Linked DNA regions of Ovis aries. The main gene of each other region encodes a partner of the protein of the gene in region 3 in a complex. Links are inferred from orthologs where the notes say so. Each region holds a gene or a part of one and is shown on either strand. Other genes may lie near its edges.

Region 1 (6,347 bases), on a different chromosome or scaffold from region 3:
CTAACCCTTAGTGCCAGTACTTAGCATCTATTCAAGGAGAAAAAGACAATAAAAACACGATGGAATTATCAGAGGCTGAAATAATTATGTTCCCAAAATAAGGAAAAAAGAATTTGATGAGACCTTTAGAATTGTAAAGTTTAACAGGAATCTTAAAAAAGTCTATTGGAAATTTCAGAACTGGAAACCACCTGCAATTAATTAGTAGACACATTTGGTAGTTGATTAGATACTAGATGTGCAAGGGGAAAAAAGAATTAGAGGAACTTTCTTGAAGGACAAATCTCGAAATCTTTGTTTCCCCCAACAATCTTTTTAGGAAGTTATTAATAACGGGGGATATAGTTTACCAAAATGAGGGATTTAAAAAGAGATGATCTGGTTCAGCAGAGCAGCGGAGGGACATCCCAGGACGACAGTTTCTTGGTCCGGATTGGAGTCAGAGGATTAATGTTTACAAGAAGCTTCAGGATAAAAAGAGTCAATAAAGTATGTGTTGTGATGCAGAGTTTGAAAGAAATTAAGAATGTGATGAAAGAAACAAAAGTAGATAGACATTACAGGGTAAAAAATGGAAGCTGTTCAAGAAAGGAAATGTAATCACAGGATAATACTCGAGCTCATACAGCAAACAGTAAGTATCGAATACTTAGACATAATGTGAGCCTTTTATTGACTGACCTAAAAACTGGTACCATAAAACTACCATGGGAAGAGAGGGGAAAGGTTGTAAGAGCAGAAAATCAATATGAAATATATTGCTAACATCTAAAATTGAAAAATCGAGAAATGATATGTTACTTAGCTACACAAGCCACTAGCAGGCGAAACATCTACACCTCATTGCCTCTTGCAGTGAGGAGAATTAGGACGGGGATGGAGGCTGGTGCTTTCTGTTCTGTGTGTGTGTGTGGGTTGTTTTGTTTGTATTTTTTAATTTTCTTGGCCTCCACACATGGCGCGTGGGATCTTCGTTCCCTGACCAAGGATCAAACCCATACTCTTTGCTTTAGAAGTGCAGAGTCTTAACCACTGGACCACCAGAAAAGTCCCACGGGGCTGGTGCTTTTCAATATTCATCCTTCTAGGTCATGTACTGCTCTATTTAAAATGGATAACCAACAAGGACCTACTGTACAGCACATGGAACTTGGCTCAAAGTTATGCACCACCTTGGATTGGGGGGGGCGGCTTGGGGGAGAATGGATACATGTGTGTGTATGGCTGAGTCCCTTTGCTGTTCACCTGACCATGACATTATTAATCAGCTATACCCCAATACAAAATAAAACATTTGGGAAAAAATTAAAATGGACAAAAAATATTTATCCTCCTGTATTATTTCATTTTGTTTTAAAGTCCATAACTATGTTCTTTTCTTTGTTGTTGTTGTTAAAATGAAAAGAGAAACATACTATGATGGCAAGAGGGCAAACAAACCTGCTCTAGTCCTCTCACTTTGCAAAAACCCCATTCTGGATTCCATCCCACTAATGGTGAGGTTAACTGAGGATGTACTTTCTGTGTCAGTTGATGGTTGAACAACAGCCAGGCTTCTCCAGCCTCGCCTGCATCTACAGGTCTCTGACTCTAGAGCATCTGATACCACTGCTCACTTCCATTTTCAGAAACACTGTTTTTGTGGTTCTCCCAGCTGAGTTTTCCTCCTACCTTTCTGGCCATTCTTTGTCTTCTTCCCGACTTTTATACAATAGGAGTTTTGAGGACTCAGTCCTCAGTCCCCTTCATTCTATATTCTCTTCTCTCTAGCATTCTTGTCCACTCTCCTGGTGTTGTTTACCACCTTGGCCTCAGAACTGCTTGCAGGCCTGGTTTACTGCACAGGCTCCTCAAAGTCAAAATATCCACTGTCCTGTCACCAGCATAGACCATCTTAGCAAAAGGCCCCACACACACCTTAATAGCCCCTTCTCCTCCACCTCTCAGGTCTCATATACAATCAAGACACATCCAAACATCTCCAGATCTGTCCACATACCCTCCACGCCTCTGCTCATCACAGGATTACAAGGATGACCTCCTGATCGGTACCCCTGATCCCAGTTTTGCTCCCATCCAATCCAGTCTCCACACAGTGTCCACGGTGATCTTAACATACACATGTGATTACTGCATTTTACCCTCGGGAGTTACCATGAAGTCCAAAATCCTCAACATGAATAAGCCAACACACAAGGCGGTGCATCAGTTATGTCCTGTCAACCTTTCCGCCTTCCTCACAAACCACTCCAGTCCTTACTCTGCTATCCTGCCATGGGGGCTCTTTCTGCCTGGAAAGTGACCCACGCCGCACCTCATGAAGGTCTTACCTCCAAGGACTTTCCACCAGTGTCTCTCCTAGATCGTCACCTCCCTACTCTCATATCTGTCTACTCGTCTCCACCACCACCCGCGTCATAGAATAAGCTCTAGGAGGGCACTGGGCTTAGTTGCCCTGCTCACCACTGTATCCATGATCTTGGGCCCAATGTGTGACATGGTTCAGTTCAGTCGCTCAGTTCGTGTTTGACTCTGTGCGACCCCATGGACCGCAGCACGCCAGGCCTCCCTGTCCATCACCAACTCCCAGAGTTCACTCAAACTCATGTCCATTGAGTCTATGATGCCGTCCAACCATCTCATCCTCCGTCGTCCCCTCTTCTCCTGACTTCAATCTTTCCACAATGAATGTGGAAAAAACGGACAGAAAGGAGACAGACAGGTGAGGCGGGCAGGACAGACAGATGAGATGGAAGGTGGTGCAGACAGAAGCTGCAATAGGAGGGGTCACTAACCCAACACCTGGATGGGGTCTGAGGGCAGGGCAGCGAGACACGACTCGAGACGGGTGGGCAGGCTCGCGCTCGCCGGGCCCCGCTTCCGCAGGGGGCGCTCGTCGCCGGGGCGTGGCCTCGAGCAGCCCCGCCCTCCTCGCCGGCGACCGGCAGGCGGGTTCCTCGCAGAGGCGGCGCGGACATGGCTGCGCTGGTGGAGCCGCTGGGGCTGGAGCGGGGTAAGCGCGCCCCGCGGCCCTGCCCACCCGGCCGCGGGTCTGCATCCCAGTCTCCCGCCCCTCCCCGGGCAAGACCCCGGCGGGTGGGCGGGCCCGGCGGGGGTGGGCGGGGCGGGGCGCCGAGAGTCCGGCCGTCGGGGGGTGTGGGAGGGTCCGTGGGCGAGCGGGCCGGGGAGGGGGCGCCCGCTGCACGCACACCTCTGCGTGGGTGTCTGTGGGGATCCCGGGCACGCAGGGCGCCCGGCTGGCCGCAGTCTCTCCTCTGCCACCCGCGGCGACTCTGCGGGTGTCCGGCCGGGACGCGGCTGTTCTTTCCCGGGTCTGCGTTCGCCCTGACTTGGTCTCTGGACGCAGTCTCTCCGGGTTCTCTGCGTCTTCGCGTCTCTGAGTGTGTGTCTGTGCGCCCCGCCCCCGCCCCGCAGAAGTGTCCCGGGCAGTGGAGCTCCTCGAGCGGCTCCAGCGCAGCGGGGAGCTGCCCCCGCAGAAGCTGCAGGCCCTCCAGCGAGTCCTGCAGAGCCGCTTCTGCTCTGCCATCCGGGAGGTGAGAGCACCGCGGCTCCGAGGCACGGGGCGGGCGGCCGTAGTTCTCCTCCTGGTCGCCCCGAGCCGAGGGACTACGCCTCCCGGCAGCGACCGGGGCGGCGCTCCTGGGGGTTGGGGGGTGGTGCCCGCGCTTCAGCCCAGGGGTTCTTCGGGAGTTGTAGTTTCCGCGGCTTCGGAGTTGCGGGGGCGGAGCGGACCCTTGGGTGGGAGGGTCTGCGGGCCTGGACGCCTGCGTTGAGGAGCTGGGCTGGCGGCTCCCTGAGGCAGGGCTGCGTCCTCACCAGGTGTATGAGCAGCTCTACGACACGCTGGACATCACCGGCAGTGCTGAGATCCGGGCCCACGCCACGGCCAAGGTAGGCTCCCCCCACCCCATGGCTCATGGTATCCACTGAATCGCATGGTCCAGCTCAGCGTCTTCCTAAAGCCAGTCATTCCTGTTTCCTCCTTCATGATTTTTGCCATATCTGTCTATCACCTCTACTAGTATTTATAATATATTTTGAATAATCTCACATTTGTAGCTTCAATGTCATATAAAGGTATCTTTGAAAGTGAAAAGTGAAAGTTTTAGTCACTGAGTCGTGTTCGACTCTTTGTGACCCACCGGGCTCCTCTGTGCATGGAATTCTCCAGGCAATTAGCAAGTACAATTAGAAACTAGTATGAAATGCCTGACCAGAAGATAAGTTTAAACCTTTACACGATGAAAACAATGAAGTTGGGTTAAACACTGAAATCTTACTAAATCACGGTTAGATGCTGTTTGCTTGCACGAGGCTCGAGATTCTCTCAGGCCTTTGTTTCTCTCTGTAAAAAAGTGAGATTGGCAAAAAAAATGAGATTCAAGACACACACAGCAAATGGAGGCTTTCTCTTTGACAGTCTGAAGTGTCCAAAGTGACGAAAATGGACATCCTGTCACTACAGAGTGATCTTGTGTTGACTTGTATGGCAGGTGCCCCATTCTTGAGAAGAGCTCCCTGGCCGAATCCCTCTCCTGGGCGGGGGCCTAGCCTCTACCTGAATGCGTATGCCCATTGTGGGGGGTCCTCACCTCCCAAGGCTTTCTCTTTCCCAGGCCACGGTGGCCGCCTTCACAGCCAGTGAGGGCCATGCACATCCCAGGGTAGTGGAACTGCCCAAGACGGACGAGGGCCTGGGCTTCAACATCATGGGGGGCAAGGAGCAGAATTCGCCTATCTACATCTCCCGTGTCATCCCTGGGGGTGTGGCTGACCGCCACGGAGGCCTGAAGCGTGGGGACCAGCTGCTGTCAGTGAATGGTGTGGTGAGTTGGGGGCTGAGGCAGGGGTCATAGTCTGCCCAAGGTAGCAGAGTCCCTGTTTTTCATATTCACTCAACACACTGAACGCTGCCTCTGTGTCTCACCCTGTTCTGGGCTTTGCTGCAGACCCTGAGAGTAACTAGGGGGCTTCCCAGGTGGCTCAGTGGTAAAGAATCTGCCTGCCAATGCAGGAGACTTGGGTTTGATCCTTGGGTCAGGAAGATCCCCTGGAGAAGGAAATGGAAAGAACTCCAGTATTCTTGCCTGAAGAATCCCATGGACAGAGGAGCCTGGCAGGCTACAGTCCATAGGGTTGCAGAGTTGGACACGACTGAAGCAACTTACCTTGCACACATGCTGAGAGTAACTGGCCTCTGCTGCTACCTCCAAGGACACCCTCTCTGGTGAGGGAGATAGACCCTGGCTGAAATAATCCTAAACCAGGGAGATAATGAGGAAGCACAGAGCACTGTGAAAGCCCAGATGTGGCACCAGACCAGTGTAGATGAGGGAAGTTTTTGGAGATTAAGGAACATTTGAGTTTGTTGTTTTTTGTTTTTGGCTGCTCTAGGTCTTGGTTGCAGCATGTGGGATCTAGTTCTCTGACCCGGGAGTGAACCTGGGCTCCCTCCATTGGGAGCACAGAGTCTTAGCCACTGGGCCACCAGGGAAGTCTCCTTGAGTTGGGTTTTGAAGGATGAGTAGGAGTTGGTGGAGAAGAATGTTAGGTTGAAGGTACTGTAGGCAGGGACTGTGGCTCTGCAATCCTGTGAGCTGAAGAGAAAGGACTTGGTTCTGATGGACTAGGGCATGCAGATAATTAAAACCACTATGGTTAGAATAGAAGGAGGCAGAGCTAGATAGGTGGTTGGGGTCAGCCTGGGAGGACTGTGAGCAATGGAAGGCTGCTCAGCCTGGAGGTATATAAAGACCCCCCTTGGGACTCTGGGGAATAAGGGACTGGGGGCTGGAACACCGAGGATGAGGTCTGAGCTGGGGCCAGGTGGTGGGGACAAAAAACAGGGCAGGAGGGGTGGATTGGGGGTCGTCAGGCTTTGCCAGAGGGGAAGGGGATAAAGGTGAACTGTCTGAACGGTCCCTGCAGAGCGTTGAGGGTGAGCAGCATGAGAAGGCAGTGGAGCTTCTGAAGGCTGCCCAGGGCTCAGTGAAGCTGGTGGTACGCTACACACCCCGAGTGCTGGAGGAGATGGAAGCCCGCTTTGAGAAGATGCGCTCCGCCCGGCGGCGCCAGCAACATCAGAGCTACTCGTGAGCCCTTTGCCACCACACCCCTGGGGCTCCTCTGCCTCCCTCATCCCCAGACTCCCAGACCAGGCCGGTAATTTCTGAGACACTGATTGCCACCCCTAGCCCTGGCTCCTTTCTCTGGGATTCTGACCCTTGACCCCGACTCTCACCCCAAACCATTCTGACTACCTTGGGGGCCCCTACTTAGCTTACTTCCACCCCAAGATGGGGAACCTGCTCTCTCTGGAATCCCTC
Region 2 (6,214 bases), on a different chromosome or scaffold from region 3:
CCACCTATTTCACTATTTTAAAAATCCTCCTATTTAAGCACTTGCTTTTAAGATCTTCCTTTTACTTTTCCATCCCATTTCTTCTCTGAAATGCTGCTTTAACTGTTGCTCAAGCTCCCATGATGCAGGAACACATAAAGAAATTTTCTATCAATACACCAGCAATATACTACTCTCGGGTGTCCAAAGTCACAGTGGGAGGAATCTTGAACTGAAGCTAGGAGCATTAATTCTGGGCTGCTGTCACTGATTGGTCTATATGTCCTTGGGCAAGTTGCTTCCCCTCTCTGGACCTCAGTTTATCTTATTTTTTTTTTTTTAATATTTTTTAAATTTTAAAATCTTTAATTCTTACATGCATTCCCAAACATGAACCCCCCTTGGACCTCAGTTTATCTTAAACTGAGATAGTAAGTCTAGATGAGCTTTTAAGTCATTGGGTTCTCATAACAAGTTAGGATTCCAAGATGCAATCCAGAAGTGAAATCTGTATACCTCTGAGCAACTGTTATGATTACAGTACAAGGTTCCTTGGACTTCTCTTTATTAGCCCAAGGATATTGCCTCAGTGAAAGGCTATCTGGTTTACTGGGAAAAACCTTCTAGTTTTGACAGACATGATCTCTGTGGTTCCAGTTTTGTCACTTACTCTGGGTGATCCTGAAATAGCTCAACAGAATTCCATCACCTCCACTAGCGTTGCTCAGAGTGATGCTTCCTAAGGTCCACTGGACTTCGCATTCCAGGATGTCTGGTTCTAGATGAGTGATCACACCATCGTGATTATCTGGGTCATGAAGATCTTTTTGTACAGTTCTTCTGTGTATACTTGCAACCTCTTCTTAATATCTTCTGCTTCTGTTAGGTCCATACCATTTCTGTCCTTTATTGAGCCCATCTTTGCATGAAATGTTCCCTTGGTATCTCTAATTTTCTTGAAGAGATCTCTAGTCTTTTCCATTCTATTGTTTTCCTCTACTTCTTTGCATTGATCACTGAGGAAGGGTTTCTTATCTCTCCTTGCTAGTCTTTGGAACTCTTCATTCAGATCGGTATATCTTTCCTTTTCTCCTTTGTCTTTCTCTTCTCTTCACAGCTATTTGTAAGGAATCACTGCACATCATGACTGCAGCCATGAAAAGACGCTTGCTCCTTGGAAGAAAAGTTATGACCAACCTAGGCAGCATATTAAAAAGTAGAGACATTACTTTGCCAACAAAGGTCTGTCTAGTCAAAGCTATAGTTCTTCCAGTAGTCATGTATGGATGTGAAAGTTGGGCTATAAGAAAGCTGAGCGCAGAAGAATTGATGCTTTTGAACTGTGGTGTTGGAGAAGACTCTTGAGAGTCCCTTGGACTGCAAGGAGATCCAACCAGTCAATCCTAAAGGAAATCAGTCATGAATATTCATTGGAAGTACTGATGCTGAAACTCCAAACTTTGGCCACCTGATGGGAAGACCTGGCTCATTGGAAAAGACCCTGATACTGGGAAAGATTGAAGGCGCGAGGAGAAGGGGACGACAGAAGATGAGATGGTTGGATGGCATCACCAACTCAATGGACATGAGTTTGAGTAAGCTCCAGGAGTTGGTGATGACAGGGAGGCCGGGCGTGCTGCAGTCCATGGGGTCGCAAACAACTGGACACGACTGAGCGACTGAACTGAATTGGGTGATCTTAGGCAAATTCTTCTCTCTGGATCAGAGCATGGAGGTTGCTGGTACACAGAAGAGGGTCGAAGATGTGGAAATGATTTGGACATCTTTGCCCAATTCCTTTTCCAGATCCTGGGAGGCTCAGCCCCGAAGCGGGGTCCCAGCCGGCTAGTAGTCCCTTTCCTGCTGCTGCTGCTGCTAAGTCACTTCAGTCGTGTCCGACTCTGTGTGACCCCATAGACGGCAGCCTACCAGGCTCCCCCGTCCCTGGGATTCTCCAGGCAAGAACACTGGAGTGGGTTGCCATTTCCTTCTCCTAGGGACTACGTAAACTAGCTTTAAACTAGTTTTGCTGAGCTTCAGCGGTAGCTACAGGTGAGTTCTTAAAGGGGCCGCCAGAGCTTGGGTAATACGTGAAGCTGTTGACTTGGAGGGAGTTGCAGGCAAGGGAGAATGAATGAGAAAACGAACGAACCAATTTTCTATTCCCTTCCTTAAATGCATTCATACTTGGAATTAATCACTTAGATTTAAAAAATTCTCTGGCAAAACCTTCAATTTCTTATCAGATTAACTAATCTCCATATTTTACCTACCCTTCTTTAACTCAGTTCCTCCAAAACTTTTACTGAGGGGCTAACAGTAACTTGAAAAAATTAGCACCAAGTGTAAGAATGCAGAGACGGCACCCCTCCCCCTCGCAAACACCTCCCTTTTCCCCCTCCCAGGCCCCGCCCTTTCCCGCCCCCTATCGTGGGTGGTGCAGTCGACACCTCCCTGAGAATGCTTTTCCAGGTTGGGGATCCACCCCCGGGGTGGATCTCTCCGGCAGAGTTGGAAACGACACGCATTTAGTGAGGTTAAAGGGTGTCTCGGAATGTGTGTCCTGGATCTGGTGTAGGTGAGGTCACATTTCTCTTCCGACACTGTCACTCTTCCTCGCCTGGTGCGCTACTCGCTCAGAGCCGCGGGACACACCGGTGGGCTAGGACGAGGTAAAGGCGGGCTCTTCCAGGGCGCCCTGGCCCACCTGTAGAGTCTGTGCGTCAACTCCTTTGTTCTCAGAACCACTTCGGTGGCCGCGCCTTTACGCAAGGAGGTTCACTTCGACGTTCCTCAGGTCCCCTTCTGCCGTCCCCAGCCCCCTCCTGGCCCTCCTCCCTCTTCGAACCCAAAGGTTGCAGCGCTGAGAGCCCGGGGCTCGGCGCGAGCCGCCTCCTCACTTCCCATTGGCTGAGAGCGCTGGGAAAGCGGTCACGTGGGGGCGCGGCAATCCAGATCAAGGGCCGCCATCTTGGCGGAAAGTTTGGGGGGAGAGCGGTTGGGGGCGCGGAAGGAGGCGAGGTTCCGGGGGTGTGGCGGCTAAGAGCTGAGAAGGCGAGCGGGCTAGCGGGTACCGGCGAGTGAGGAGGCGCCGGCGGCTGAGGCGGAGGAAGAGGCAACGGGGGTGCAGCCGCCGAGGGGAGCTCCTCCCCCGTTCCCTCACCCCCCTCTGCACAGCTCCGCAAGCCCCGGGTGGGGCGGGGGGACGTGGAGCGGGGCAGGGCGGGGGAGACGGGCCGGGGCGCACCCCAGCTCCGGGCGCACGCCACTCGCAGGAACTTTGTGGCGGCGCCGCAGGTGTGGGGGCCCGCGGAGGTGTGCATGTGGGGCACGAGGGCGTCGGAGAGCGGCCGCTGTCCTGTCCGGCCCTCGCTGGAGTAGCTCGGAGGAAGCCAACAAGGAATCAGGCAAGCGAGAGGAGGGGGCCCGAGCAGGGCGGGGTGATCAATCCAGTTGGTTCCTTCTCGGACTGCTTTACAGTCTCTGCTGGTTTAGGGGCCAAGGGTCGGAGCGCCTCTTCACCCCCCAGTAGCAGGTGGGGGGTATGCTTTCTTATGCCGGGGGAGGGGTGGCCCCACGTCTAGCATTAAGCTCCCTTTGGAGAAGGGGCAGCTTTCGAGGAGAGTTTGGCAGCTTGCTCCTGTCTGCTCTTAATTTGCAGGGGAACCCAACCTTAGGTTAAAGCTTTCTACATTGACACTGCTGGGTTTTGAGGCTCTTTCTCCTTTGACTTGGGAAAACTTTGCCAGGTGGACTTTTCAAATAGGGCTAGGAGTTTTTCGATTTGAGAGTTAGAGGTAAATGCTAGGTTAACCTCGATTCTGTTCTTTTCTGAATTCAGTTCTGTTTCCTTTCTGTTTTGTGTTCTAAGGTGTGTGCTCTCTTCCTGATTCTGGAGAAAAATGCCGGTCCGGAAGCAAGGTGAGAGTTTACTTCGGAACTCTTGTGGGTATCCCTTGCTTTTTTCTGTTTTGTGCTTGCTATGTTTTACAGATGTTTGTGTAACTGATGAGACAGCCCAGCCTTAGCCTTATTACTTACGGAATCTAAGCCTCAATCATTCAGAAGATGGAAACACCTAAGTGTTTGTCAAACTTTTTTCCCTTGACATCTCTGTAGTGACTGGAGAGGCAATTAACTTTTTTCCCTCAGAAATGTCTTTTTTAAAAGTTTGTGTTGGCGTTTTAATATTTCATTTAAATCATTCTTAGTAAACCCTTTCGTGAACGAATGTGGAATACTAGCTAAGAACTACTAGTTTTGAAAGAATATTTGAATTATAATGATGGATTGTAGTAATCAGTGTTTGTATATCAGATCAACTGAAACTATGTTACTGGTTAAATGATCACTAGAACACATTGGTTACAAACTACTCACCTTGTTTTATTGTGACATAATGAACAGTTTTTGGATTATTTCATTTCTAAGGACTATATGTACAGGAACATAGTAGCATGGATCGACTTGGAGGTTTGGAGAATTGTTTAGGTTATCTTGCAGAGTATTTTGCTGCATAGCTAGTTTGTAATACTTCCTTGTAAGTATATAATTTTAATCAAACTTTTTTTTTCTTTTCAGATACCCAGAGAGCACTGCACCTTTTGGAAGATTATCGTTCGAAACTAAGCCAAACAGAAGACAGACAGCTCAGAAGTTCCATAGAACGGGTTATTAACATATTCCAGAGCAACCTCTTTCAGGCTTTAATAGGTGGGAATTAAAACTTTATTTGTGACCATTGTGTGTCAGCTGGGCTTAAGGCTTCTCTGAATTCACTTATTTTAAACTTAAGAGAGTGATAGACTTGGCTCTCTGTGAGGCATGCAGTTACTTGAACATCCAGTGAATTGTGTATTTTGATACTTAGACCAATATCTTTTCCAGAAATATCTAATAACCAAAAAAACTTTCAGTATGATTATTTCAGTGGTCTTTGATAACAAAGCATTAAAAAATGAAGAGGTTGCAAAAAGTAATGACTGAATAACTGTTAGCTTGTTTCTTTGTTGGTTTTGTTATTTCTCTGGAATCTCTGAAAATGTTTGAAAAGTTCTGTGTTTAAGAACATTCATTCTCTTAATATAGACCTCTGTTTAAACTTGGCATTTGTAGAATTACAGTTTTAAACTTGAAAAATGATCTTACAGATAATCTTGGTCTAATCTTGTTTTACAGATAAAAATATTGAATATTCTTAACTCTAACTTAAATTTGATGTGGTTCATTGTTTTAAAGGAGAACTGAACAAGGGTGCTGAGTTCTACTCCTGATAGTGCTATTGATTGGATGAGATGGTATAAATCATATAATCTTTTCTAGGTCCCTACATTAGCTGTAGCATGTGGATGCAGTGGAACAGTGGCTTTTAACCTTTTTCCTAAAAAGTAGCTAGATTCTTTTTTAAAGCAAAAGCTTATATTTTGTACACAATTCCCGGTATATAAAACAAGATGATCTGTTCTGGGCCTCTTCTCTAGGTACCTTGAAAAGTTTACAAACCACTGAACTAGAAAAATTGTCCCTTTCAATTTCAAGAATAAAATGCATTTTTATTAATCAATGACTATATAACATATTAAAATAAAACATTTCATTGCATTACATTTTTTTCCTCAGTAGTTACAGCCTTATATCTGTGTATCGATGGAGTAACTTTTGATGTGATTTGAGGTTAATGTATCTTATCCTACTTTCAAATTAATGTATTCTATCAAATAGCTTATTGGTAAATTGATACTCTACTAAATCAGTTTTAGAATTAAAGAAAACGTTAAAGAAGATCACTCAATACACTTAAATATAATTTAGCATTATTATAAACTTTTGAAAACATACACGACAACAGAGAGAACAGTATAATGAACTATTATATGTCTGTCACTCATGTTTAAAAATGACCAGTATTTTGCTTATTTTGTTTTTGGACATTTATTACATTTGAATTTCTAAGTTCTGGGGTTTAAGGTCCAAATGGATCAATTGGATTCGTCTGAAAAAACAACAAAGGAAGGGAAAATCATTTTTAGTTATTTTCTAAATCACCATTAAACCTAGGAATGTTTTATTTAGTAGGCTCACCATTTAGGAAAAAGTAGTATGACTTGTATGTCTTATTTTATATGTAATTCATAGATAGATGAAGTTCTCTGTGTGGAGTCCATGACTTAAGAAAATGATTAGTGAAGTAGTCAACCAGAACCAACACTTAGATTGAGATGGGAAGTAGATTTGC
Region 3 (5,168 bases):
CCAAGTGCTTGCTCTTTTGGTAAGGTTTGTTAAGCACTTACTATGTATGAGGCACAATGCCAAGTGCTGGGTACAGCAGGGCAAGTTTGTGCTGTAGTTGGGGAGAGAGATACTAATCAAACAAACAAGCAATGAATTGTATCTATTGATAGATATATATTTCAGAGTCCACCCAACAGCTCACCTACCTAATCAGTTAATTTGACTTACAGAGAATCCTGGTTTCAAACTTGAACTTCCCCATTAAAAGCTCAGTATAACCAGATCTGCGCCATGAAGATGCAGAGGCAGACTTTCTGGTGGCCCTTAAGAGATCCTCATCTTCAAAGAGCTCCCATCCTGAGGCTTTCTGGGGCTCACGGTAGAAGTTTAGGGAAAGTCTTTACTGCAGCAAAGAGTTGAGTAGCTGCTTCTCCTTCAGAGTTTTTTTCCATAAGATATATTAGGACCTACAAACAGTGATGTTTGGCCATTTCCAACACAGACCACCTTGAAGGGATTCATCGGGTGTCAGTTGCTTTTGTATCTGGGATATGGCCTCATTTCATCCATTACTGGTAACATCCAAAAAGCTTTTGCCTCTGGCATATCCACTGCTAGTGAGTGAAGGCAATGCATTATATATGTAATTGAATTCCGGGAACATGGCAGAAAAATTCAACTTCATTTATTGTCCAGAGGCAGGGGCTTCTTGGGGCAAACACAGCTGGGCTCCGGGGCTCAGTGCAAGCGAGAGCAGAGGACCAAGGAAAGGGGATGCAGAGCTCTGACCTCACCCCCGCCCCCAAAGCCCCCTCCACCCTGCCAAACAGGAGAGTGGTTCGAGATGAGGCAGGCCTGGGTCAGGGGGATGAGCACAGAACAGCTCGACTCTGATAGTCAGCCTCAGCTGACTCCAGACAGGCACAGTTCAGCCAGAGCAGAGTCGCGTGTTTGCTGAGGAGTGTCGTGTCCTGGTCCATCCAGGGTGGCACAGAGGCCCTGTTGCATGGTGAGCAGTCACGGTTGTAAGCCATCGTTCTGTGCCCCTGCCATCCTGGGGGCCATCGTCTCCTCTGTCACGAAGCGGCCTCAGCCTCACACTCAGATATGTCCCATCACGGGCGGGCCTCGACTGTTTCTGACACCGGGACAGACAGAAATGTAGCCCGAGAAAACCATCTTGGTTGACTTCTCTCTCATCTTTGCTTCTCCCTCCTCCCTTGCCCACCCCTTCCTCCATCCCCTCACCATTTAGGATGAATCTCTTCAGCGTCTGCAGAAGGAGTCGGACATCTTACAGAGAACATACGCACACTACTTCGATCTCACAATTATCAACAATGAAATCGACGAGACAATCAGACATTTGGAGGAAGCCGTGGAGCACGTGTGCACAGCCCCGCAGTGGGTCCCCGTCTCCTGGGTCTATTAGGCCCCCCTCCCCCAGATATCTGCCGCATAACTGGGAGCCACCTCATACATGGAAAAGCCTCTTTGTTATCGGCCTTGTGTCAGCAGGTCGTGGTCCCTAGAGACTACCTAGTTGTAGTGTGACCTACATTTATAATTATTGTCATGTCCGAATAGATAGGAGGAGAAAAACAATTACACACTAATTTAAAGAGACAGTATCTTTTTTAATCAGTTCTCCTAAACTTTAATAAAATGTATCTTTAAATGTATGTATTATTCAATCCTTTGGAATGTTATATTTTTGGAAATCATAGCTTTTTATTTCCAAGGCCCCTAAAAACTGCACAAAATAGATGCTGCTTTCTATAATCTATTTTAATAATAATAAACAATGATTCTGTTACCTTGACTGGGGTTGGAACACTACATTCTTTTTAGAGTCTGATTTTATGGATTGGAATATCTTTCTTTCCTTTATTTATTTGAAATAATCAGTCTAGTGATTACAAAACTCATAAATTTTTAAAGGCCTTTTTTTCCTCTTTTTTTTTAGAATAGTATTTTTTTTAAGTCCTTTATGTAACATCCAGATAATGTGATACTGTCTCTTTGAAGCACCCTGTAAACCTTTTAGAGATTTGAAGTTGGGTCTTGACTCTTAATGCATGTGGACAGTCGCGAGCGTTTATGCTGTCGGTGTGTCTGTGTTGGACAAAACAATCTGTAATCTACAACAAAGTACATTCCGTTCACGGGGCACACCCAGGGGAATAAGAATAAAATGCTATTATGACTAAGTTGTAAACCTATGCACATCCCTTGCATTTCGGGCAACTTTATAAAAAAAACAAACAAACAAAAGAAACTGATTTTTATTAATAATAACCATGTAGTGAAATGTGTTTGTAATTTTGTCTCAATTTAATTTGTTGTAAGGTGGGGGGGGAATTGCTGGTTTCACCATTTCAGATCTGTGTTGTCTGAGAGTATTAACATTTTAATTAAGCAAAGAAATGAGGATTTTTAATATGTATGTAATTGTTTTAAAGCACCCGTTTTAAGAGAATATACTGTGCAATGAAGAAACCAGTTTAGGCATTTGCTATAAACTGAATTATTCCAAAAGAATAATAATCTATAATAGCCCTGTAAATTCCTTTAAAATGATAACAGGACAGTTTGACCAATTTTTTTTAAATATACTTCCTTTTATGTGTTCAATAATTAAATGCCTTTGGGTCCTTCATTTCATCATAGATTTGTTCAGGTTTACAAGGTGATGACCTTTTAGATTTTATAATCCTTTAGATGCTCATTGAACCATCGAAGGCCTAGGAATGACTATCAGTTGGCAGGACAACAAAATACTCTGCCAGAGCACAGCTGGGACCTCGTCTGGCTCCCAGAACACAGTGCACCCGAGGGCCACTCAAGTGCTGGAGGCAACATGTGGTTTCTCCTTCCTCTTGCTATATCCGTTGGCACAGGATAATCATGTCCTTGTTGCATTAGAGACATTAACCATCCCATCACCCTTCTGTGAGGTCACATTCTTCCAATACAGGTGAGTCAGGCTGGCAGTTTTCTTGCTTTTTGCCAGAGGTCAGTGGCAGGTTTTTCCATTCGAGTGTCAGTGGTTCTATTAACCTGAGATCCTTGAAAAAAATACCATCGAGTTTCCTTCTTGTAGGTTAGATGGCCTCATTGCTTTGTGCCTCGGCAGGACATGCTGGATGTGTTCTGAGCGGAACAGCTCCTCTTGAAGAACCACACAGAGAAGGCCTTTGTATACTCTTTTGAGGGTGTCACCCTCCCCTCCCCCTACTCTTACCGAACAGTGCTGGGTTTTCTGCCGATGTTGTCCTTTGTCGGTGACCCGATGAGTATACAGCTTACAAACTGCTAAGTAAACTGCTGCCATTGGGGTCCCATCTCAGGGTGACCAAACCACTAAACCAGAGACACCCTGGATGGAGGGAGAAACCCGGAGAGCTGTTTGGGGCTGTGATGGGACTGACTGCCATCTAAGCGCCGCCAAGGCCAGCCAGTCATTCCCAGGATGGTATTGGTCACAATGGGGCTCTTCTCAGTGTGAGCGTGCCCGCGCTACCTCTTTTCCAATGAAGCACAAAGAAGAATGCAACTGACACCTGAGAAATGAAGCTCGCTCCCTCCCTCTGGTAGGAACCCCCATGGCCCACTTGCCCTCTGAGACCAGGTCTCCGGGGATGCTTGACGATGCCTGTCGAGCCACCCACCACGCTGGTAAAGGCAGGTCAGGCAGAGGAAGAGAAAAGCAATGCCAGCGTAGTCTGTGGCCCCGGGGCTGAGAAGCACACAGGCTGGTGGCATTCTCACCATTGTGCAGGTGGCAAAATTCCTGCACCCAGAACTCATTCTGACTTCTCAAAGAGGTCATCTGTTCCCTTCTGCTAATATACGACTATCCTAAAGCAGTGTCTTTGTGACCTAGCAGAAAAGACTTAAATTTCTGAATCCAGAGTAATTACAGTACACTGCTGCTGCCACTCCATTTCAGTTGTCCACTGAGCAATTAGAAAATTGCTCAAAAGCCGCTTTACTGTTTCCGTTCCATCCACAAAATCATTTTTTTCCTTTCAAAGAACAGAGCAGATGATTAGATTATTAAATCTTAACACTGGTCAATTCAGCCATATTCTGAGGGCTCTCTTTCCAGTCCTATTCCTTACAGCAAGAAAGGGGGGTAGGGGTTAATATGTCAAATCAGCTGTTAAAAAGAATGTCCTGATTTTCTAATCATAAAACAGTAATTACTTTGCCCAGGCAGCATGTTCAATTTTAACACTAAAAAGGAAAATGTCACTCAGTTTAATTCAGGAAGCATCCCAGTGTTGAGATAATATGGTAGCCTTTTAAAAAGCAATTAAGTGTATCTCCTGTTAGGTGAGATGGTTTAAAATATTTGCTCAGAGAGGAACAGAAATGGGTGACCTACTTCTTGGCAATTTGCATTCAGAAGGCATCTTATGAGCCCGTCCCGTTGGCAGCGAGGTATCCAAAGATGCTACAAAGCCCTTACCGCACGAAGGACCAGCATATGCTCCTTCTTCTCCAGGGCCCAGTCCATATCCCACTGATGGGGCCAGCCCACTGGGCCTGGACTCCATGCTATGATTATTTTTTAAGACTTTGATCTCATGATTATAGAGGGGTTTTTTGGTTTGTTTTTAAATCACTTGTAGTTAATCTGTTCAATAAGTTTTGAGTTCATTCCTGGAAAAAGTATAATCAGTTGAGCCACCCCTGGGGACACTGAGCAGTGGAAATGTCCGGCGTGGACACTGCCCTTAAAGGACAGGCAACCCAAAGCAACCGCTCTTGTCTCCCCCTGATGTCCTTTTCTTCATTTCAGGTCAGTCACTTGAGGGCAAAGAGAACATACCGCTAAAGCTAGCAAGAACATTTCTTGATTAATATATTCTTAATGCCTCCCAGGCTATCTCCTTGGAAAGAAGAGAAGGCATCTTGCAATCAGCATTCCAAACAAGCCCCTGTGGATTCTCATCCTGCTTATTTCCTATCGTCAAACCAGTGTGTGTGTTTGTGTGTGTGTTGTGGGGCCGGGGGTGGGGGAGACGGAGGAGGGGCTTGTTTTTCCAGAACTGAACACAGCCTCCTAATTCCATCCTGTTTCCAAGGGCTTAGATACCAAGGTCCCCAAGTGTTCTTTCTCTTGTTCTGCACCTCTTATTCTCCTCTTAGAAAGATCTTTTGCTTCTGACTGCAGCTTA
Region 4 (6,290 bases), on a different chromosome or scaffold from region 3:
GCCAGGCTCCTCTGTCCATGAGATTTTCCAGGCAAGAATACTGGAACAGGTTGCCATTTCCTTCTGCAGAGGATCTTCCATACAGAGGGACTGAACCTGCATCTCTTGCATCTCCTGCATTGGCAGGCAGATTCTTTACCACTAATGCCACCTGAAAAACCCCTGCCAATCAGAGTAGAACCTCACAATTCATGTGGCATGAGGTAAAGAACTTAGAAGGGTATTTATTAGATTACCCTTCCCTTATACCTTAGAAGGGTATAAGGGAACACAATTAGCCCTTCACAAAAGACTGAACTGGTTCCATTCAACAAAGCTTAAAATTAAGCCTCAAAAAACAAAATTATTTTTAAGTGTCCCATCTACATTTCAAAACAAATCTCAAAGGATATTTATACAAATATAAAAATATCTAGCTCCCCCAAATGTAAATTTCACAATGTTTAGCCTTACTTATTTAGTGAGTTACCAATCATGCAAGAGGCAAGAAATTATGGGCTTCCTAGGTTTGGCTAGTGGAAAAAGAATCTGCCTGCCAATGCAGGAGATGCAACAGATGAGGGTTCAATCCCTGAGTCAGGAAGATCCCTGGAGGAGGGCATGGCAACCCACTCCAGTAATCTTGTCTGGAGAATCTCATGGACAGAAGGCTATGGTCAACAGGACCATGAAGAGCTGGACACAACTGAAGCAACTTAGTATGCATGCATAAGCCATAATTAAGAGAAAAATCAATAGAAATAGCACAGATGACAGACTTAGTAGATAAAGACATTAAAACTGTCATTATAATTTTACTCTATATGTTCAAGAAGCTAGAGGAAATACTGAACATGTTAAGTGAGTACATGGAAAATGCAAACACACACACACACACACACACACACACACCCCTAAATCAAACTGCTGAAGATAAAATAGACAAATATCTGAGAGGAAAAATGAACTAGATGGGATTAAGAGAATATTTTATGTTGAAAAAGGGAAACAGAAATCCTGAAAAGCTGAAATGAACAGAGTATTGGTGAGCTGCAAACAATGTCAGGCATGGGAATATACATGTAAATAGAGTTATCAAAGGAGAGGAGTTGGAGGATGGAAGAAAAGAAAATCTTTGAATGTCTGCACTTGTCTTTCTCCACATAGCATTCTTAGTGCCTAGCAAGGTGTCTGATAGACATTAAGCATTTAATAAACATTTGTTGAACATCTGTGACAAATAATAACAATAAATAAAAAATAAATACATGAATGCTTTTGCAGGCTATAAGGGCCATTAGGGACCAATAAGGAGAAGAGGATGGAAAAGGGAAGCTTAGTAGAAGTGATATGTCTTCACAGCCCTGGAGGATGGGTTCAGTCTGAGGATGTATATAGCCTAGAGAGCCAGAGGAGATGGGGAAGGGTGATCCATTTAAGAAAACACAAATGAAGACTTGGAAACAAGAAGAAACATGGTTTTGAATATTCCTCCTCTACTGGAGTGTCTACTCCATTTGAGGGATAAAGAGAAATTAGGTTAGACAGATGTGTTAGGCTCATAGTACACAAAGCTTTGGGCTTCCCAAGCAGTGCAGTAGTAAAGAATCTGCCTCCAATGCAAGATACACAAGAGACATGGGTTTGATTACTGGGTCCCGAGGATCCCCTGGAGTAGGAAATGGCAACTTGTCCCAGTATTCTTGCCTGGAAAATTCCAGGGACAGAGAAGCCTGGCAGGCTACAGTCCATGGGCCCGAAAAGAGTTGGACATGAATGAGCACACACACAACTTTAGAAACAGGAAACAAAGGTAGAAGCCACTGAAAATTTTCAAGGGGAAAACAAAAAGTATGATGGTGGCATTCATGATGGACTAGAAGAAAATATGTTGAATGCAAACAGTGGATGGGGGCAACTAGGAAGTTGTTAAAACAATCCTGTCATGAACTGTTGAAAAGCTGTTTGTAAAAGCACCCAACTGATTATCAGCATAGACTAGCACTTGAATAAATGTTACTGGACTCTAAATACTGGGCAAATTAATATTTCACTTAAGGACTAAAGCTTTCTTGGTTTAAGAAAATTTCAAAAGTGGCCCTAAGAATCTGTAATGTATTAAAAATATTACTTGATTCCTAATACATCATTTTAGAGGCTTCCCTGGTGACTCAGTGATAAAGAATCCAACTGCCAATGCAGGAAGCTGCAGGTTCCATCCCTGGGTCGAGGAGATCCCCTGGAGAAAGAAATGGCAACCCACTTCAGTATTCTTGACTGGAATCCCATAGACAGAGGAGCCTGGTGGTCTACCGTCCATGGAATTGCAAACAGTTGAACAGGACTGAGCAACTAACCACCACCCAGTTTCATTGCTTAAGAATGTTAAGAACTCAGACACAACTTCTACGTAGGACAGATGGATAAACTGAGGCAAAAAAAACGATGTGAGCACTCCAAGTTCACAGAGCCCCAAACAGTCAAGCTGGAACTAGAGTCTAAACTCTACCTTATGAAACGAAGGGCTCCAAGGAAAAAGAATATGGCTCGAATCCCCAGGAATGGGGCAAGAGTCGGGAAACAGACTCTTTTCAACTATACTTGGCCGAGGGATTTCTAAATCTTAAGACTGCTGAAGTGCAGCACAAGACTGGCCTCGGAAGCCCACTACCCACACACTCTCTACCTCAAGAAGACTCGACGAGGCCCAGACCCACCTCTCCCGCTCTCGCGATACCTGCTCCCGGCTCCGCTAGGCCCCGCCCCTCCACCGCAGCCCCTCTGTCGTCACTTCCTGTGGGTCTGCAGGCAGAGGGAGAAGATGGCGGCCCTGGGGGAACCCGTGCGGCTGGAGAGGGGTGAGTGGGGCCGACCCTGGGACGGACGTGGGCGGAGGAGGTAGGGGAGTGCCTTGTCGTCCAAGGGGGCGAGTGGGCCAAGCTCCGAGACCCCGAACCAGGCTTTCCCTCGCGCTGGCGCCTGTGGCCACCGATGTCGATGCGCCGGGCCTGGGGAGGGGGCTTGACGCTCTTGACTGCTCCTGAGACCCCTTCTGTCTTCACATGGACTATTCCGGAGCACAGCATAGTTCACCACCACTTGTCTGCATTCGCAGATACACGCTGTACACGCTCTCCCTGGGTGGGCACGGCCTGCTTTGCGTTCAGAGACGTGTCAAGCTGAGCAGTTCGGACAGACTCACGCCCAGTTCGGACAGACTACACGCCTTGCCCGTATTGACGCTTCCATACACAGTGTTTGCGTCTTCACTCACCCAGCCGGGACACGCAGCGCGTTCCCACCAAACCCCCTCTCATTTATGCACAAATGCCACCACAACCTCGCTTGTATACGTATTGGGGATATTTCCTGCCTGTGGTGTCTCTCCCAGGTACGGAGAAGGTGCTTTATAAAAATCCTGCTGTGGTTCTGGAAAGAAGGTTGCATGACTGGAAGGAATAGTGATTGTAAATTACGTTAAAGTGCAGCAGCGTTCTTCATTACAGATCCTACGATTGCTAACTGGTTGATTGCTTGCTTTTTAGAGCAAAAAGGAAAATAAAACCTGTTCTGCTAAGTAATTAAAAACCGAAAAGCCAGTGAAGTAAAAGACTATGAGCCTAAAAACGTACTGTTGCAGTTTTTTAGCATTCCACTATTCCCCAAATTCTTTATTTCATATAATTTCAAGTATACTTTTGACACACCTGTATTAGAAGTCATCAGTAAGAGTCAGAAAGTAAAACTAGACATTTCGAGTACTAGTAGTAAACAAAGTATAAGATGGAGATTGACAGTCTCTTTAAATATTAACATTTGCATTTACAGTCCGACTATTTAAGTAGCTTCTGCTCTAAAAAGGGATACATTTTTAGAGTTGAATTTTGGAGTCTTTCCTCATATCTTTACACAGACCCATTTAACATTATTTATTCCTTGTGGTATTCACTATTTGTAAGCCTCTTTACAAGTAATGTTTTCCTCCAGCCCACCAGACCATTAATTAAAGTATCATTTTGACAGAGTAGCAGCTTACTCTGGGAAGATTCGCTAAGTTAGGCCTAAGCCTGTGACATGTTCTTCCAAGCACAATGACACTGTGCTTTGCAGATGGGAACAGATTTGTTTGGTGTTAACTGGAGTAGGTGTTTTTCTTTGAAAACTAGTTGTAGAATTCTAACATGTTGGCAGTCTTTTGTATTGTTAAGTGCAGTACAAAATGTGAGGCTTCACCTCTGGCATTTACTTTTGGTAGTCCTGGCTTTTTGTTTTTTCCTGTTTCAGAGTTCATTTCAGTTCTGCAGTAAGAGTGCTCAGAACCTGAGGATAAGCTATTAGTGGATGCCATTTAGCAGGATAAGAAAGATTACATCCACTCTGATTCTTACTTAGCATTCTGTTTAACAGATTCTATTAAGAAACTCTCCCAGCAATCCTATAGTATAAAATTAGTTCATATGATCAAGATCCTGAATGCCTTCAAAGACATTAAAACAAGATTTAGTGGAACACATTTGAGAACATACTGGGTACAGTTTAGGTTCAGTAAACAATATTTATACTTTTTCAATTTTTTGTTAGTTGGAAATTTTCATATAGCTTGTTTATTATAATTTTGTAGGTCAGAATATTTGATGAACCAGCACTCCTGATTCACCAGCTATTCTGATGGTGGGAGATGAGAATAGGGAAAGTTTTTTCCCCCTGCATTGGATTAACATCAGTTTAAGCTTCTATTACCTGAAATTGAAAAATGTACTTCTTTCTTCACTACATTTATTTTCAATTTTCCAGTTGCAAACAAAGACAGCCATACTGATTCTATAAAGAGAAAAGTTCCAATCCTTTAGTATAATAGAAGATTTGGAATTTCTTCCACTTAAGACAAAAGGAGGGAAGGAACTTTAGAATAATAAGTACTCTAGCCCCCTGTGGTACAAAAACTGTTAAAAAAAGAAATGAGGGGAGAAATAGTATGAAACATGACTGAATCTTGTAAAAGTTTCTTAATTTGTAAAACACTTTTTCCTGACGCTTCACAATGAGAACTGCCTAACAGGCTTAATACATTTCTATAAAAGTATAGAACATCTTAATGTTTCTTATTAATTGGTGCTAATGTAACATAACATTTATGCTTGCCACATGCCAGGCCCTTACCATGTTTTTTTGTTTCATTGGTCATGTAATTCTTATAAAGGAGATATACTGTTATTTCTATTTTATAGTGGAAAACAGACACAGGGAGTTTAAGTTACTTGCCCAAGATCACCCAGCTGTTACTGATACCATACTTATAAACTAATTGCTTTGTGTTTTGTAAACATGTATTTTACTGAGCTTGTCCTAATTAAAACACTGTGTGATGATCCTAAGTCGAAAGCAGACCAGTTAATTTTACTCATTTGTATTGTTGTTTTAAATTGTGTTCCTGCCAGTAACTAACTGCACATGTTATTGAAGAGTTTTTGTGTGTACATATATATTCAGTGTTCTTTTGGGAAATAGTGACTTCATTAGCACACAGCATTTTATACTGCTCAGCACTTTGGTTACTACTGATGGTAGGTGAATTTTTATTGACTAAGTAGCTTCTGATAATGCTGTCATCTTTTCTGAAGTACTTCAGTGTTCATGTGTCTGTGACATTTGAGCTCCATTTCTTTCTTGTGACCTTTAGGACTTTATATTTGTTTTCCTATGTCTCTTAAAGATACGGTTTTTCAGATTTTATGCATGTTCAACCTCAGTTTTTCTTCCTAGTCTGCTGTAAAATTTAACATTCTTCTCAGTCTTTACATTCCCACCCTCCATACATGAACCCCCCCACACACAAGTTCATACTCTTAGGCTTTTTTTTCCTCTGTGTTCTTATATTTCTAGTTAGCCATTGAGGAATAAATCCTAAATGCTGCACTGTTACAGAGGCATTTAGAGAAAATTATCTATCAGTGTGTGTTTGTTTAACTCTAGATATTTGTAGAGCAATTGAATTGTTGGAAAAACTGCAAAGAAGTGGAGAGGTACCACCACAGAAACTTCAGGCTCTACAAAGAGTCCTTCAGAGTGAATTCTGCAATGCTGTAAGAGAGGTAAGTAAATGTGATTAAAATTGACTATGAACTTGCGTTATTTAGGGTAAGATAACATTCTGAAATTTGGGTTTGTAGTTTCTTAAAGTTAACTTTAGAACCCACTCCTCTCATTTTTGGAATTTCTAACAGAAAAACATGGTACAAAGATGCATAACTTTTTCTGAAATTTTGACACATTTGTTAACTTTAAAAAGAACTCAAGCTTGTTATATTTTG
Region 5 (6,209 bases), on a different chromosome or scaffold from region 3:
GAATGATTTACATGAGCATGTGTGTGTGTGTTAAATCTCTTTCCCTGCTTAGATTCTAACGACCATGAAGACCATGCGGTAGTCTGTTTAGCTCACCAATATGCAGCAATCCCACAGTAGGGTCTGATTTGCTGTAAGCACTCAATAAGTAATCCTAAGGACAGGGACAAGGGGGAACAGGAACTTCTTATGACCAAAGCCACCAAGAGGCCCCCACAGAGTTAATCTGAGGTCTTAGTTGCAGAAGGAAAAGAGTTTAGGATATACAGAGCAGTGAAAATGTGAAGCCACCCTGTCTGCCCTTTCAGGGGCCAACCAGGTTCTGGCAAAGGCTTGCTTCCTGGACAAGATCCATGAAGCTAGCACAGACTACTGAGCTTTACTTTCAGATGATATCTTTGGAATTCTGGGGGTGTTCCATCTTAATTTCAAGCTCTAGCTGTGATCTGATTGCTTAAAATTGCTGCCCTAAAGATTCCAGATGAATCCATGGATAATGCCAAAGGGCATCAAACAAAAAATGTTAGATTTTAGCATAAAATCTCCCACTGACTAGCAGAGTAACCTTGAAAACATCTCTTATCGTTGCTCCTTTTCCTGTTTTTCACTTGAAAAATGAAGATGCTAGAAAAGAACCTGCAGAATACACATATGTGTTCAGGTTTGCTTGATAAGATGCCTGGGAAGGGGGCTTTATAAGGCGTCCTCTTCTCTTTCTCTCCTTCGCCCACCTGCCATGACCCTCCTTGCTCAATAATCACAGCTCAGCGAGCTATGGTTGCTGATGGAAATCTGTCAAGAGCACGGGAGGAAAGAAAGCTTAAGAATCATTGGCCTGTGTTCCCTGCCTTTCTTCCCAGGGTTAAAATGTTGTGAATCTATGAGCTGTACTTTTCTGTCCGCTATGAAACCCCGGTATTTTAACAGTGCTTAAGTTGTTGCAATCCTTTCATTCACGTACACTTTTTTTAAAAAATTTTCTACTGTGATCAGGGACTATGGAAGGCTTTGAGAATACAGAGATGAATTTAGAAATGGTGCCTTCCCTCAGGGAGTTCCGTTCGAAACGAGATAGATGCAACAGTTTGAGAAATGCTTCGATGAGGCCAAAGTAGTGGGTGCCCTCAGAGCACGTCAAAGAACACCCGGAAGAGGTGGGCGAGGAAGTCATCTGTGAAATCCTCCAGTAGGCGACCAGAAACTGAGTCCCAATTTTAATTCACCGAATTCGAGGCTCTTAGATTTGCACATCGTCTGAATCGTTCACTCCAAACTCCTTGTGTGCCAAAAAGGAAAACTGCTCCCCAAAGAGGCTGACCAACTCCTCCAAAGTAAGTATCAGAGTTACGCCCAGGAACCAGATAAGTACTATCTTTTCAGAGATTTTTTTTTACCTTTTGTAGGAAATTTCTCATCAGTTTATTTCATCAATTTTATGATATAATTAACAAATTACTATATTTTAACAACTTAGAGGGGAAATTACGGATACGTATTGACTTCATACACAGTAATGATGTCAATAATCCACCATCCATAAATGACAAGACCTCAAAGTAAGCTGCTGGTGAGTTTATTCAGATACATTCAGTCTCACCCAACTTGCCTCTTGAGCTACTGAATCACAGCTGGGAAGGACAGGTACAGTCTGGCTGTGAACAAGAACAAACTTTCAGAACAGATCTTCATCTGATTGCACTTCCTCTCCACAATTGATCAGGCATTTCAGGTAAGCCCTTCAGAGTGAAATGTTTTTAGTAGTGGTAGTATATAAAATTGCTCAGTTATGCAATTTTCTTGGAGTTTGCTTGCTTTTTTTTTTTTTTTTTTCCTAATGTAGTCGTTTTACTTGGGATGTTTAAAGACGGTGATATAGGAATGGGACAATATAAGATCTCATTACATTAAAACAGAAATACTTGGGAGTCCATAATTTCTACTAGCTTGCCATCTGTTAGGTTCTTAGAGGCAATGGATTTATCCTGCTTAGTGGAGATGATGATACTGGGGAGAAATCATGGATTATACAATGGATTTCTGAACTCCTTAACTATATTATTAATTTACTAGCTGGCAAACCAACATTTCCCAACATAAAATCAATTATTTTTTGTCTTTCAACTCATACCCCGAGTAAGGTTGCTATGGGCACCACATAACATTTCTTCTGGCGCCAACAGATTGCATTAGTCACCCCACAATCTCTCCAAATTAAAAAACCTCCCTAACTTTGCACTGGCTTTTTCACTGTACTTGCAGCACGATGCTCTTTTCCCTTGCCCCACAGTCCGGTTTAATCCTCCAGAAAGAATATTTTTAGAGGCACATCGGACTGAATCATTTTCATCTGAGCACACCATTTCCAAATGGCCGCACAGGGTCCTAAATCCGGACGCTGCGGACCGGGACGAGCAGGTGTCCTCCGCAGCAGAGTCGTGGGACTCCGGAGCATTCAGAAGTGGACGTCGGAAAGCCAGAAAGAAAAGTCGAACACGCAAGGACAGGTATGACCCAGCACCCGTGTGCGGGAGAGGCCGCGATCGCAGCGAAGGATTCCATCCTTGGGCTTGGGGAAGTCCTAGAAAGGAAGCAAACGCTGCTTTCCCAGTCAAGTCAGAAAGCAGGACGCACAGGGTCGCAGGTCAGAAGTTGAATTGCAACCCAGCCTGCGCTATGTCCCAGCGCCTTCCGCAGCCCGGGTGTCGCCGTGGCACCGGGCTGGGAGAGAACAAGGCTGGCTGGGGCAGGAGAAACTGTGAGTTGCCACGGCTGGAGGGCCGCCCCCGGCGAGGGCAGACGCGACCCCCGCCGCCTTCCGAGCGCGAAGCCGGGAGAGCGGGGCGCGGCTGCCTCGATGCTGCGCCCCCGGCCCGGCCCCGCTGCCGCGCTTCGCTTCGCCCTTTCCACGGAGGGCAGCTCCAGCCGCCGCAGCCCAGCCGCCGTACGCCCCGGCACCGGCCGCCCGGGGGTACGCCTGGCCCGCTCTCGGGAGGCTGCCGGGGTGTCGGCAGCCGGACCGACCCTCGCCCCCCGGCGTCGAGACAAACTTCCTTCGTCCTGGGCCCCCAGCCGCGCAGGCTGCCAGGCGGCTCCCTCTGCAGGCTTCCCGGGGCTCCGGCTGCAGGCGCCCTCGCCCGGCAATGCGAGCTTTCCTCCCTGCCCCTCTCCAACCTCGAGCCCCGGGCGAGCGCCTAGCGGTCCCCCCGCGCCTCCGCTCCAACAAAGCCGGCGGCCGGGAGGCGAGCCACCGAGGGGCTGAGAGGGTCGGCGTGGGCTGCGAGAGCCCCGCAGAGGCACCCCTGGGCCGGGCGACGGTAGCGCGAAGGGGCAGCGGGGACGTGGCGGGCGGAGAAAGGGGAAGAAAGTGTCCTGCTCTCGGCGCGAAAGCCCTCTCCGCTCGTCCTCGCTGCCCTGCTCCCCCTGCCCGAGCGCTGCCTGGCGGTCCGGGTGGGAGTTGGCGGCGCCAGAGGAGGAGGCTGGCGGGGGCCGCAGCGGCCTGGAGGGCGAGCCGCTCCCTTACCTCTGTCCAGAGTGAGCGGCTGGACCACTGTCAACGTCGCCATGTCTGCCGTGGGAGCCGAAGTGACGCTCGGCTTCAGCATCAGCAACCGCTTGTAGTGAGAAAAAGAGGAGGAGATTGGGGGCGGGGGTGGTGAGGGAAGACGGAAAGGAGGGGGAGGAGGGAAGGTGCTGGTGGTGGTGGAGGAGAAGAGAGCCTGGGTGGGTTGGCAGCCAGATGGAGACGCAACTGTTCCGCGGCGGGCAGACCTTCAGATGCGGCGTGAAGCTGAGCAGGTATCGGAGAGCGAATGCCTGGCTGGCTCTGGGAAGGAACTTTGCTGTTCCACCCGAGGAGCGCCGGTAGGGTGTAGCTAGTGTGTTGCTTTCTTTCAACTTTCCACTCGAATAAAACGGTCACAACGTACGACCGTTTGGGGGAAAGGAGAATAGAGGGGAGGGAGGCAGAGAGATGGTTTTTTTTTTTTTCCCCCCCCTGATTAAGAGAGTTTGCCAATCCTCTAGTTGTAACCGAGGGCATGTAATCCCATCCCCTAGAGAGAAAATGCTTCTAATTCAGAAATGCTGGGTTTTAATTGTGATTGCTGTTAATTTCTGTTAAACTTTATTTTGGAATGTTGACTCTTAACGGTACACAAGATAACTGACTTAAAGCCAGGGTTCCATCGCCATTTGATCTCCATTAAGGACCTGAGTACATTGCCTAAAAAATAACTTATTTTACAACTTCTTTAAAATGGTTTTAAATTAAAAATCACAAAGAGAAGTTTCTATCACAAAGTTTGAAAGACACGTACCCAGCACCTTTCCAGGTTGTTCTATAGCCAGTGGTTACTCAGAGTTGCCACTTGCTGGTTAATTAACATATTTGACAGGAATTGAACTAGGCCATCGCCTGACTTGGGGGATTCAGTACAGTTCCTGCCTTCCAGTAGCCAGCGATCTAGTGAGAGAGGATGTTTGTAAAAGGGTGACTTTAGAGTCACTCAATCAAGATTCAGTGACCAGAACTTTCAAATATTAGTTGTGACCCCTTCACCCTAACAGATTGCTTTCACTGTCTTGCCACATAGGGACTCTCATTTTGATCAAGAAACTAAGATATAGATATCTTATGTAAGCAGAATGGTGATGACTATGAGTTCAGGATTGGAAATGACAAAGCTGCCTCCTTCCCTGTCTTCATGACAGAGCAGAATTGTTTTGGCTAGCAGTATACTCCTGAAGACAGACACTGTTTTACAGCAAAATATTTGCACATAATCTACATCATTGTCTTCTGAATACAATATGGATGGTTTTTGAAGACCTTTCCCATCTCATGGTTTATGTTTGAACAAAGAAGATTTCACAAGTGATTTGAGAAAGTCAAAGATGATTGGTCAAACCCTAACAGACCTTAAAGACATACCTAAAATAATAGTTCTTGCTTATAATAGCGTACTTATATTTTCATTTAGTGTCTAGGAAGAACCCTGATCTTGAAATTCAAGTCTTAGTTATATGCTCTCCAGAAACCACATAATCTCTCACTGATCCCCAGTTTCTTCATCTGTCAAACAAGGACACTTTTAATCTTCAAGCTTACTGAGATTCTTTAAAATGAAGAAATTAATTCTTGCCTGCAAGCTTACTGAGTTTTGTGAGGGTCTGATGAGATCATGCACATGTATGTGCTTTGAAAACAGTAAAATATATACAAATATATGCATACAACAGACACACATTCCACCTGAACTGTATGGCAAGCACTCTGCTAGGTGCTAGCCAAACAAAGATGAATAAGCCATGGCCCTTTTTCTAGACAGTGCTCAGTACAAGTTGGGAGACAAATAATGAGCACGCTGTGAGAATATGAGTAAGCTCTGGGCAAAAATGAGAGCAGTAAGTACTCTAAGCACCATGGAAAGGATATACTGGGAGAGAGAGAAGAAACAACAATTATGGCTGATTATCATTATTCACATCCCCTAAATCAAACAATAGAAAGAAGTTGAATCGCGGACAATAGCAACAGAGTATGTGCCAGGGTTTTGCACAAAATATCAAACCTCATTCAATCATTTAGGGTAAAAAGAATATACAGATCCTTTGGCCAGTTGAGTAGTTCTTAAAAACATATGGTATCATGAATATGTATTTGAGTGGCTTGATTCCTAATTCTAAAAGCCATTTCAACGCAAATCCCAGACTGTGAAGTCCAAGAAAGTTGGCTTTTTGTCTTTTGGTTTCCTGATGTATTCTCAGCACCAGATATTTAATAACAAGTTTCTGGACTTAGGCTTTGAGCTCCCTAATTGAAAATTTACCATTCTGGAGAGTTCTTTTAAGGATTGAAAGAGAAAGTAAGAGGAAGAACAAATCACCGCATATCTTTGCAAAGAGTTGGACATTTTAATTATTGTTTCTAGTAGTGGCAAATTCAATGCTTTTAGCTTATGTCTGCACAGGTGTAGAAAATGAATGGTAAATAATTTATTATCTGTTATGAAGGATGAGTAGCTACTATCTCTCCAATAATATTTGTGAATTTCTATTTGACATATGTATAAATGTAAAGTGAAAGTCACTCAGTCGTGGAAGAAAAGCTATGACCAACCTAGACAGCATGTGAAAAAGCAGAGACATTTCTTTGCCAACAAAGGTCCGTCTAGTCAAAGCTGTGGTTTTTCCAGTAGTCATGTATGGAT

Evidence for each region.
Region 1: the proteins of CASK (region 3) and LIN7B are in contact, whole or in part, in an NMR structure (PDB 1Y74), measured with the Mus musculus proteins. The link is inferred for Ovis aries from reciprocal best matches to the Homo sapiens genes CASK and LIN7B. Residues at the interface, in NP_001271432.1 of Mus musculus: Ala405, Arg408, Ala409, Glu411, Val412, Glu415, Ile416, Tyr419, Glu421, Asn422, Asp424, Ala425, Glu427, Leu428, Ile431, Leu432, Gln434, Phe437, Ala439, Leu440, Leu441, Thr443, His444, Val447, Ala448; in NP_035828.1 of Mus musculus: Leu10, Asp13, Val14, Arg16, Ala17, Leu20, Leu21, Arg23, Leu24, Ser27, Glu29, Leu30, Pro31, Pro32, Lys34, Leu35, Ala37, Leu38, Val41, Leu42, Ser44, Phe46, Cys47, Ile50, Arg51, Tyr54.
Region 2: the proteins of CASK (region 3) and DLG1 are in contact, whole or in part, in an NMR structure (PDB 1RSO), measured with the Rattus norvegicus proteins. The link is inferred for Ovis aries from reciprocal best matches to the Homo sapiens genes CASK and DLG1. Residues at the interface, in XP_038955489.1 of Rattus norvegicus: Gly339, Ala342, Ala343, Arg345, Ala346, Val347, Gln349, Val350, Ser353, Leu354, Glu356, Ile357, Leu360, Thr361, Asp367, Leu368, Phe370, Leu371, Ser373, Val374, Phe375, Asp377, His379, Leu380, Thr382, Leu383, Leu384, Asp385, Leu386, Tyr387; in NP_036920.2 of Rattus norvegicus: Arg4, Asp7, Thr8, Arg10, Ala11, Leu12, Leu14, Leu15, Tyr18, Lys21, Leu22, Glu26, Asp27, Leu30, Ser33, Ile34, Arg36, Val37, Ser39, Ile40, Phe41, Ser43, Leu45, Phe46, Leu49, Ile50, Gln53, Glu57, Val58, Leu60.
Region 4: CASK (region 3) and LIN7C share a complex: the UniProt entries of both Homo sapiens proteins name them as parts of the brain-specific heterotrimeric complex. The link is inferred for Ovis aries from reciprocal best matches to the Homo sapiens genes CASK and LIN7C.
Region 5: CASK (region 3) and LIN7A share a complex: the UniProt entries of both Homo sapiens proteins name them as parts of the brain-specific heterotrimeric complex. The link is inferred for Ovis aries from reciprocal best matches to the Homo sapiens genes CASK and LIN7A.

What each region holds. Positions count from the first base shown.
Region 1 is NC_056067.1:55,364,140-55,370,486, forward strand, and holds the start of LIN7B (protein lin-7 homolog B), read left to right. Parts: upstream 1-2,939; 5' UTR 2,940-2,976; coding exon 2,977-3,013; intron 3,014-3,435; coding exon 3,436-3,554; intron 3,555-3,840; coding exon 3,841-3,912; intron 3,913-4,637; coding exon 4,638-4,847; intron 4,848-5,949; coding exon 5,950-6,113; exon of another isoform or gene 6,114-6,179; intron 6,180-6,347. UniProt on the Homo sapiens protein: Plays a role in establishing and maintaining the asymmetric distribution of channels and receptors at the plasma membrane of polarized cells.
Region 2 is NC_056054.1:192,592,015-192,598,228, reverse strand, and holds the start of DLG1 (disks large homolog 1), read left to right. Parts: upstream 1-2,435; 5' UTR 2,436-2,557; exon of another isoform or gene 2,558-2,651; intron 2,652-2,932; exon of another isoform or gene 2,933-3,386; intron 3,387-3,850; 5' UTR 3,851-3,881; coding exon 3,882-3,924; intron 3,925-4,560; coding exon 4,561-4,692; intron 4,693-6,214. UniProt on the Homo sapiens protein: Essential multidomain scaffolding protein required for normal development. Recruits channels, receptors and signaling molecules to discrete plasma membrane domains in polarized cells.
Region 3 is NC_056080.1:40,718,637-40,723,804, reverse strand, and holds part of CASK (peripheral plasma membrane protein CASK), read left to right. Parts: intron 1-1,237; coding exon 1,238-1,414; 3' UTR 1,415-5,168. UniProt on the Homo sapiens protein: Multidomain scaffolding Mg(2+)-independent protein kinase that catalyzes the phosphotransfer from ATP to proteins such as NRXN1, and plays a role in synaptic transmembrane protein anchoring and ion channel trafficking.
Region 4 is NC_056068.1:56,974,560-56,980,849, reverse strand, and holds the start of LIN7C (protein lin-7 homolog C), read left to right. Parts: upstream 1-2,775; 5' UTR 2,776-2,800; coding exon 2,801-2,837; intron 2,838-5,952; coding exon 5,953-6,071; intron 6,072-6,290. UniProt on the Homo sapiens protein: Plays a role in establishing and maintaining the asymmetric distribution of channels and receptors at the plasma membrane of polarized cells.
Region 5 is NC_056056.1:116,991,632-116,997,840, forward strand, and holds the start of LIN7A (protein lin-7 homolog A), read right to left. Parts: upstream 3,909-6,209; 5' UTR 3,603-3,908; coding exon 3,521-3,602; intron 1-3,520. UniProt on the Homo sapiens protein: Plays a role in establishing and maintaining the asymmetric distribution of channels and receptors at the plasma membrane of polarized cells.